Linked DNA regions of Coturnix japonica. The protein of the gene in region 2 interacts with the protein of the main gene of each other region in a pairwise test. Links are inferred from orthologs where the notes say so. Each region holds a gene or a part of one and is shown on either strand. Other genes may lie near its edges.

Evidence for each region. The genes of interacting proteins can lie anywhere in the genome.
Region 1: the proteins of ATXN3 (region 2) and ARHGAP19 interact in binary tests that used the Homo sapiens proteins (3 or more experiments, as listed by UniProt). The link is inferred for Coturnix japonica from reciprocal best matches to the Homo sapiens genes ATXN3 and ARHGAP19.

The regions. Positions count from the first base shown.
Region 1 is NC_029521.1:19,516,584-19,521,030, forward strand, and holds the start of ARHGAP19 (rho GTPase-activating protein 19), read left to right. Parts: upstream 1-1,527; 5' UTR 1,528-1,546; coding exon 1,547-1,617; intron 1,618-4,447. Other genes in the region: RRP12 (RRP12-like protein), read left to right, coding at 49-131, 342-444. UniProt on the Homo sapiens protein: GTPase activator for the Rho-type GTPases by converting them to an inactive GDP-bound state.
Region 2 is NC_029520.1:40,426,323-40,430,577, reverse strand, and holds the start of ATXN3 (ataxin-3), read left to right. Parts: upstream 1-1,330; 5' UTR 1,331-1,418; coding exon 1,419-1,442; intron 1,443-1,577; exon of another isoform or gene 1,578-1,598; intron 1,599-3,185; coding exon 3,186-3,350; intron 3,351-3,900; coding exon 3,901-3,945; intron 3,946-4,255. Other genes in the region: NDUFB1 (NADH dehydrogenase [ubiquinone] 1 beta subcomplex subunit 1), read left to right, coding at 799-835. UniProt on the Homo sapiens protein: Deubiquitinating enzyme involved in protein homeostasis maintenance, transcription, cytoskeleton regulation, myogenesis and degradation of misfolded chaperone substrates.

The DNA of each region.
Region 1 (4,447 bases), on a different chromosome or scaffold from region 2:
TGGGACACTCACATCTCCCTTTATGCTTCATCTTGGTATCTCCTACAGAAAGGGAAAGGTGATGTGAAGAAGAAGGGCCAGCTCGACCCCTATGCCTACATCCCCCTGAACAGAGCTAAACTCAACAAAAGGTGGGACTGAGCAGGAAGGGCATGGTATAGGGAGGGGGGGATATCCTGGGTCTGGTCCTGCACATTGTTGTTACCATTTCTTGTGGTCTGAGGGGGCTCCCTGCCAGCCTCTGTGCTGCTCCTTGCAGCCACATTGCACAGGCCTGTGCCAGGGGCTGTCTGTGCCTTGTACCCATGTTAATCTGTCTCCCTGCTCCTTCCTCCCTCCAGGAAGCAGGCAAAAATGCAGGGCCAGTTCAAGGGCCTCATGAAGGGTGCCCAGCGAGGGGCCAAGGCTGGCCGCAAGAACCGGATGAAGGAGCGTCGCCCTTGAGGAGCTGTGGGTGGTGCTCTGTGCATCCACCTGCCTGAGGACAGGACTGGTGATAACCTGAGGCATTCAGGCTCTGGAGGACAGGGACTTTGTGAGTGCAGCCTCCTGAGGAAGCGACCCCTGTGGACTCCTGGCCCAAGCCCTGTCCTCCTGTGCCTAAAGGAAGGCGATGGGGTGACTGCTACAGGTGTGTGTGTGTGTGTGTGAGAATAAACGTGTGACAAACATCTCCTGTTAATATCCAGCCTGGAATCCTCCTTTCTTTCCTGCAAGCACCTCACACAGCGTGTCCCCTGCAGTGCAGCAGGTCCTGGGATGGAGGGGATGGAGTAGGAGCCTTCTGTGGTGCCTGTCCTGTGGCTCTCACTGGCTCTGCATCTGCTTTGCCCATCTCAGTCATGCCTTGCAAGGGCTTTTCTCTTACCTGCGAGAGCTGAGATGGAGCCTTTGCTGTGACCACCTCCCAGAAGCACAAGTAATCCTGGATCTATAGCTGCCCAGGTTGGATGAGCAGCTGTTTCTGCTCTGAGTCCAATGTCCCATGGCTCACAGTACAGAGTATGTGTTTGTGAACGTATCTTCCTTCCTCTTTTGTATTAAAAAGCCTTTAGTCCTTTGTCATTTCATATCACGGTAGCTTACATGCTGGAACTGCAACGCTTTTCAGTCTCCTAATAAGCTAAAGGGATTGTGCTTGTTCAGCCTCTTACTGCAGGCTGCAAATCCACTTTGTGGTTCTCTGCTTCTTTTTCTTTGGTCATTTATTTCCAAGATCCCTTTAAAAGCTCGGGGCTGAGGAGGAGCCGTTGCACTTGGCTGGGGATCTGCCCGTATCCTGCTCTCCCTAAGGGGTCACTGTGTGCCCCTTGAGGCTGTGCCGTGCCCCGGTGCAGCCATAAGGCAGCTGTCAGCCTTGTGTCAGGACAGGCAGCTCCAGCAGCGCTCGGCTCTATACACCGCCAGCAGGAGCCATGTGTGCCCGCTGCCCTTCATCTCCTGCGGTCCGTTCGAACCGACCAATGGTAGCGAGGCCGTAACGCCTCCAGCCAATAGCGACGGGCAGGTCGGGAGGGGCGGGACCGCGGGGTGGCGCGGTGGGCCAATGGGGAGGCGGGGCGGCAGGTATGAGATGGCGGCGGGAGCGCCGGCAGCCGGGGTGCGGCGGGGCGGCAGGTAGGAGCGGGGCGGGGGGCGGTGTGTCACCGGGGGGCGGTGTGTGTGTGTGTGTGTGTGTCCGGGGTCGGTCGGTGTGTCCGGGTCTGAGCGGAGCCGAGCGGCGGCGTGGAGCCCATCCCATCCCATCCCGCAGTGCCGCATTGCGGGCCGCCCTCGGCGTGCTTTGCCGCATCGCTCCGTTTCGGGCGGTGAAGCGGCTGTAATTACAACCAGCTTCTTCGCAAGCGTTTTCCCCCGAGCTGCCGATAGCAAAACGTGCGGTACGCTGCTGTACAGCGGCCCCGCTGCACGGCATAGCAGGACTGAACGCGTTTGCGTTCGGCCGGTAACGCTCGAACCGGGCAGAGCAGCGCAGAGCAGCGCTCCTACCGGGCACGGTGCGGAGGCAGGAGCTGCTGAGCCGGCCCAGCCCTCCCCGCCGGCTCCTCCCCGCAGCCCCGTGCTGCCGTCCCGGTCCCGCTCTGTGCACAGCCCCGCACCAGCCCTGCACGTGAGCTGTGTGTTCTCTCCTCTGTCCTGATTGTTTTCCCCGTCCTTCCTCGCCCTCCTTTTTAACAGCGTCCCCAGAAAAGCTGGCAAGTTTCAGTTCTATCAGTCACGCTGACTGATAGCGCTGCCTCCCCTCTTGGGATTCCTCCTCTTTTTCTGTCCCTCCAGCATTATCTCGCAGCCCTCTGAAGGCAGGGGATTGCCTTTGTTCTGTGTTTGTACGGCACGGAGCACGGCGGAGTCCCCAGCTGTGACTGAGGTTCCCAGTGCCACAGGGATAAAAGTGAATAGAGCAGTAATGAGGAGAGGCAGCTGCTGCCATCTAAAAGGTTCCATTTTGCTGCTGGTTTCTGTGAAATTACGACTGGATCTGAGGCAGCTCCTTTACAGCCGCTTTGTATAAAGGCTTACGTTAAAATAAATACATTTACCAACTTTATGTTGCACTGAAAATCATGAAGGCTGCAGCAGCATTATTTATTTAGGTTGTTAAGGCAGATGGATGAACCTGCAAATCCTTAATGCAGAAGTAGAGGGTTTCTGGCTGTTCCTGTGTGCTTGCAGAGTGTCAGACGGGATCTGGAGCTATCCCATGGCACAGGATCAGCCTGAACAGCAGTGAAGATGTAGGATGGGGCTCATTCAGCAGCTCTGCAGTGAGTCTGTAGCCCCAAGGTGCCTTTCAGTCTGCCTCCCTTAGCACCAGAAGGCGACTGGGTGCTGTGATGTGCTGCAGGCTGATTGAAACGTGGCTGTGTTGACTTTACAGCTTTCCAGTGGATCTTATGAAAAGCTCCATAAAAGGATTCTCTGGGGTCTAAGCTGAAACATTTCACGTTGAAATGCAAAGTTCTCAGTGTTTCATGTATATCATGCTGCCTTGCTGCTGCGGTCTGGCTCGCCACCAGTAATGTTTTCCATATTCAGTTTGTTCCAAGCCCACTTTCCCCCTCTTGCAGCCCTTTATCATCCTGGATAGGTCTGTCTCTGGGTTTACATCACACTTGTGAGGCTCATGTGGCTGAGGTCTGCTCGAGTCTTTTGCTGAGACAGGATCTGAATTCATAGATGATAGCAGGAATTTGGATATCCAGTGTATTCAATGCCCAAAAGATGGCCGAGTGCTGCATTAGTTCCAGGTTGTCCAGCACAGGCTGCTATCACATAATAGCAGCTTTGTTCCTCAGTTCCCTGCTGTTTAAATTGTATATTATTATCTGATTCCCATAGCCAAAAGGCTGAATCACTCCATGTCATCTGTTTAGTTGCGAAGAAAGCAAAGCAACAATTAAAAAAGGCAGTTTTTATTACGGCTCACTAGGATGAAGCCTAGAAACAGTGGTCAAGGCTTGGCACTCACTGTGCTATGCGTTCTGTGCTCATCACAAAAGGACTCTCTTTGCCCTTACAGACCTCATGAGTATAACCCTCGGCAAAAATCGCTGCGTGTTTTTCTTGACATTTTTCAGAGGCAAATCAGTCACCCTATAGGGAGTTACTGTGCTAAATCTGAGGGCTGAATGTGATCTTTGTGACGCCGCCTTACAAGAATGTTGGTCCCAAGTACAGTCCTCAAAACAACCTTAAAAGTGAAGTCACTTCTCGTGTCTCTGCAGCCCATTCCCACCAGAGTTCTTTTAATTTTATTTATCTATTTTTAATGGAGGAAATAATTTGTCTCCTAGTCCTTTTGTACTTAAAATGATTTCACATCATTCCGCTCTGGTCCTTTCATCTCTTAGCGAAACGTGGGATGGCTCCTATCTGGCTCTGGAATACTGCCTTCAGACGCCCTCATTAATTGATTCCTTGCTCTGGCACAGCACAGGGACGATGCTCCTTCTCTCTCCCCAAGGAAACGTGAGCCCGGGTGCATCCATTCCATCTCCCTTTGTGCTTAGCCAGGCACAGAATCCCCGTGTTTTGTGTTCCCCAGCAGTGTCTGCTTATCGCTCTGCGCTCAGTGCTCGCTGCTTGCCTGGCTGTTCCTCAGTCGAAAGATTTTGTTATTATATGGGGAGATTTTCTTCCATTATCTGCCTTATTTTCAAAAGCTCTTTAATCCTTTTTCTCCTGCCTGGTAAGACTCGCCTGCTGCAGTGTGACTGAGGCATTAGCTTTGCTGCAACAACATCCCAAGTGCACAAAGTGATGCTGGGCTGCATTCTGCCCGCTGGATGAGATGCAGCTCCAGCTCTTCCACTTTCCCAGCTAGAAAAACACAGCTCGTTTCTTGCCCCAGAGGTGCCTCATCCTTCTTTCTCCTTATGCTCTATTTAATGCTGCTGGAATCTGCTTCTGCCTTCTCATGTACGGACTTGCAGCTCTTACAGCTACT
Region 2 (4,255 bases):
TTATAGGTTGCTTTCCCAGATAGACTTTTAAAAGTACTTCTTTACAACAAACCACTCAACCATATCTCCTAAGCGCTTTCCACTTTCGCCTCTATTTGTCTTCCCACTAAAGCAATGGATTTTTGGATTGGAAGGAGTTAGATTTTTGCCTTTGGGGTCTCATGTAAGAAACACCATCTGTTAACTCAGCAGAGGTTTATTTATAATTAATGGTAGGACTCAATCCTTTGAAGCTTTGGGTCGTAAAGTAAAAGTTTAGGAGGGCGGGGGCTGAAGCACCTCCCCTATGAGGACAGGCTGAGGGAGTTGGGTTTGTTCAGCCTGGAGAAGAGAAGGTTGCGGGGTGACCTCATTGCAGCCTTTCAGTACCTGAAGGGAACTTACTCCCAGGAGGGGAGTAAACTCTTCGAAAAGGCTGATAATAGCAGGACATGGGGAAATGGTTTTAAGTTAAAAGAGGGAAGATTTAGGTTGGATGTTAGGGGGAAGTTCTTCACTAGGAGAGTGGTTAGGCCCTGGAACAGGCTGCCCAGGGAGGTTGTGGATGCCCCGTCCTTGGAGGTGTTCAAGACCAGGTTGGATGGGGCCCTGGGCAACCTGATCTAGTAAATGTGTATGTTTGGTGGCCCTGCCAGGCAGGGGGGTTGGAACTACATGATCCTTGAGGTCCCTTCCAACCCGGGTCATCCTGTGATTCTGTGTGATTCTGTGATTCTAGAATCATTTTAAATGCTTGTTAATTATCCCACACCATTTATCCTAATTTTAGCCTCCACCCTTTGTTTTCTTTCCACACAGGGAGCTGAGACCCGGCGAAGAAAAGACCTGGAAATAAAGGCTGCTAATGAATGGGGGAAACTTTCTGCTCTGTTCATCACCTGATCTCATGCATTGAAACAATATGGTTATGTTTTTTCTCCTGAGACCCTACCAAGCTACAGAATAGAACACCTACAGTTTGTCACTGCTACTTTAATTCCTATTGTTACTTTATGGAAGGTGATCTATTATAAAGCTGTTTTGATTCTGTGAAGCCCATGGAATTGAGAAATATCTGCCCCCAGAGGTTCCGCTCTGGAGTTGGGGGAGAAAAGACGTCATGTAATAAAGAAAAAAAAAAAAAAACTATGCAAAAATAATTTCCTTTTTTCTTAGTCTGTGTGGTGTGGAATTAATGCGTTTATAGGTGGTTTATGAGCTAACCGAGGCGGTACCTCACACATGGCGCTTTATTAACTCACCGCCACACGGAAGGAAGGACCGCACGTTTCCGGCTGCTCCAGAACTGCGCAAGCGCGTCGTGCTGCCGAGCTGCCCGGACCTCCCGCCGCCAGGGGGCGCTGCTGCGGCACGGCGAGGCGAGCCGCGATTGGCTGCGCGGGTCATGTGAGGCGGAGGCCGTGCCGTTGATAATAAACATGGAGTCGATCTTCCACGAGCGGGTGAGTGAGGTGTTGTGGGGCGGGAGCGGGGCTGCGCTCTGGGGAGGCGGCAGTTGTATCTCCCGGCCTTGCGCTGCTCTGGGGCTGCCCTGTTCCCCTGCCCCATCTCCGGCGGGGCTGCTTCTCGTCTGTGGCCGAGCAGGAAGGCGAGCAGCGGTACGTGGGGCGGGTTCCGTGAGCTCGGACACCAAATCTGCCCGCTGTGGGTGTGCGGCGCTGTGAGGGACGGCATCGAGTGCTGAGCTGAGCTGAGCTTCCTGTTGGGAGAACAAATGCTTCTGGAAACTGCTGTGCTGTGTCAGGGCTCACACGTAGCAGCTGCCTGCGACCTCTGTTGTTACACTACAGTGCCCTTTATCTGCTTTGCCGGTCACTCTGCAGCTTTGCTGATATTTTTGTATTGTTTTGTGGGATCTGTTTAGGTGATACTGGTTTCTGTCCGTTGTTCTTATGCGTAGTAGTTGGTTTAGTTAACAAATAAATAGAGTTAGCTGTACAGTTCAGTGGGTTTTTGTTGTTGCTTTTAATAAGTTATTACATCAGTACAGAAGGGCCCTTTCAAAGAAATTAGAGCCTAAACTTGTAACATGACTCATTTTAACAAAGTTATCCCAGGCTTGATTTGTTCCTAATTATTTCATATGCTTCTGGTGGAAACAATCTGTGACCATTGGCAGGTCTCAGCTGTGTCATGGGGCCAGCAGCAGGAACGTGCTTCCAGCAGGGCAGGAGTTGCTGTTTAGTCTGGAGTTTCTTTTTGTGGGATAAACACAAGCTGGAGAAGCTGTGAAAGATGAGACTTTTGAATTCCATTGTACTTAGGCTGTACAGCCTGTCCAGCTTGAACTCAATATTCAGTTGAGTGGTGGTACCTTCAGAAGGGATTGTAATCTATAAAGTTTCAGGGATCCTGCTGTGAGGGAGACCAAGGGAGATTTGTGCACCTGACTTGTATGATGGAAGAGTGGACATTTAAATAACATTCTTACAAGGCACACTCTTGTATTCTTTACTTTCTGTGGAGTTTTAATTCTTTGACAATTTTGTTTTGTTTCCAACACCTTTGTCCTAATGCACATTCTTAATGTTAATATAAACAAGCATTGATGCAAAGAGGAAAGCTGCTTTTTATAGCTGATGTTAAACTTGTCTTGCACTCGTAGGTTAACTAACTCGCCTGTTATTTTTTAGAGAGGGATTGTTTTTCATGGGAAACTGTAATTCCTCTTTTTGCAAAGTCTCAATGCTCTGTTTTTCTTTAGCCACATGTGGAAAGCAGATATTTCCCAAACCTCATAGGGAACACAAGTTTAACAAAGAAAAAGAGTGTCCCTTGTGGAGAATATTTGTTAATGGGAATTAGAGATTTAAAAAAGAAAAGAATGAGTTTCTTATTTCATACAGTGATGATTTGAAGGGAGCGGAATCGATTCTCCTGATGGTTGCAAAGTACTTGTGTGACTTGGACAAACTGTAGGTGATTTTTACCCTGTTTCCCAAAACATTTTCACTTAGAATTTATTTTCTTCCAGGAAATATGTTTGTTTTCTTTTCCATCGTCAGATTAATGGAACATAGGAATGTATTCTACAGCTCACACTGTAATAAAAATGGAAAAAAATACAGTATTCTGGGAAGTGGGGGCTGGAATGAAATCATTGAATGTTTCTGCAGAGTGCGTCATTAACATCTATATGTTATTGCTTTTGACATAGTGGTGTTTTTTTCCTTTCCTAATATTAGCAAGAAGGCTCATTATGTGCTCAACACTGTCTGAATAATTTGCTACAAGGAGAGTACTTCAGTCCGGTTGAGCTATCCTCCATTGCACAGCAGTTGGATGAGGAAGAAAGAATGAGAATGGCAGAGGGAGGAGTGTCTAGCGAAGAATATAGAACATTTTTACAGGTAAAATCTTAACTTGACGTTGCATGATGTCTTCTTAAAATCTAATATTGTATAGCAAAGGCCTGCTATGCCTGCATAATTACAGAAGATTCATTTTCTAGTGCTGATGTTTTGGAAGTTTGCTGATATTTTCATTCAGGCATTTCAGGTTTGAGGTTTTTAGTGTTATTTGTACAGCTTTATAGTGCTTCTACAGGGGGCCGTGTTACCTTATCTCCTCATCTTAAGGGTAAGATGGTTAGGCATGGCAAGGAGAAGACTAAGAGATTGACTGTTTGTTTTAGTAAGCCAGGGGTAGAGACGGTAACAGAATTCCCTGTACATGTCTGTCCTTTAAGCAGTAAGTATTTGCAGCTTAAAAGTTTGAGTTATTAACAAAAATGCAAATGTTGGTGTTGTAATCAGCATACAGAGTAAAATATATTTCATTGTTGTTTTATGTATGTACAGTCATATTATTATTATTATTATTTTTAAGTGAAATTCTTTCTGAACTTTTATGCTGACACAACTTTTAACTTTCCTTCCTCCAACCTCATATGCTGAGCAGCAGCCTTCTGTAAACATGGATGACAGTGGATTCTTCTCAATTCAAGTAAGATGTGCCCTAGACTGGCAATTTTTTTCTTCTTTATGGAATGTATGTGTTGTCATACAATTTAAATGACATTGACCTATTATCTAGTTTCTGTTTTATAGGCTTAATGACATTAATGGTTAGACTTGAATCTTGAATTACATTAAGAGCAGTGGTGACTTGTGTTTGTTCTTTAGGGTAGTATGGCTTGGTTGCAGTTGGACTTGATGATCTTGAAGGTCATTTCCAACCTGAGCAGTTCTATAATTCAGTTTATGGGTCTTTAAATAAAGAGTCAAAGCATAGACTCCCTCATACCTGCTAGCAA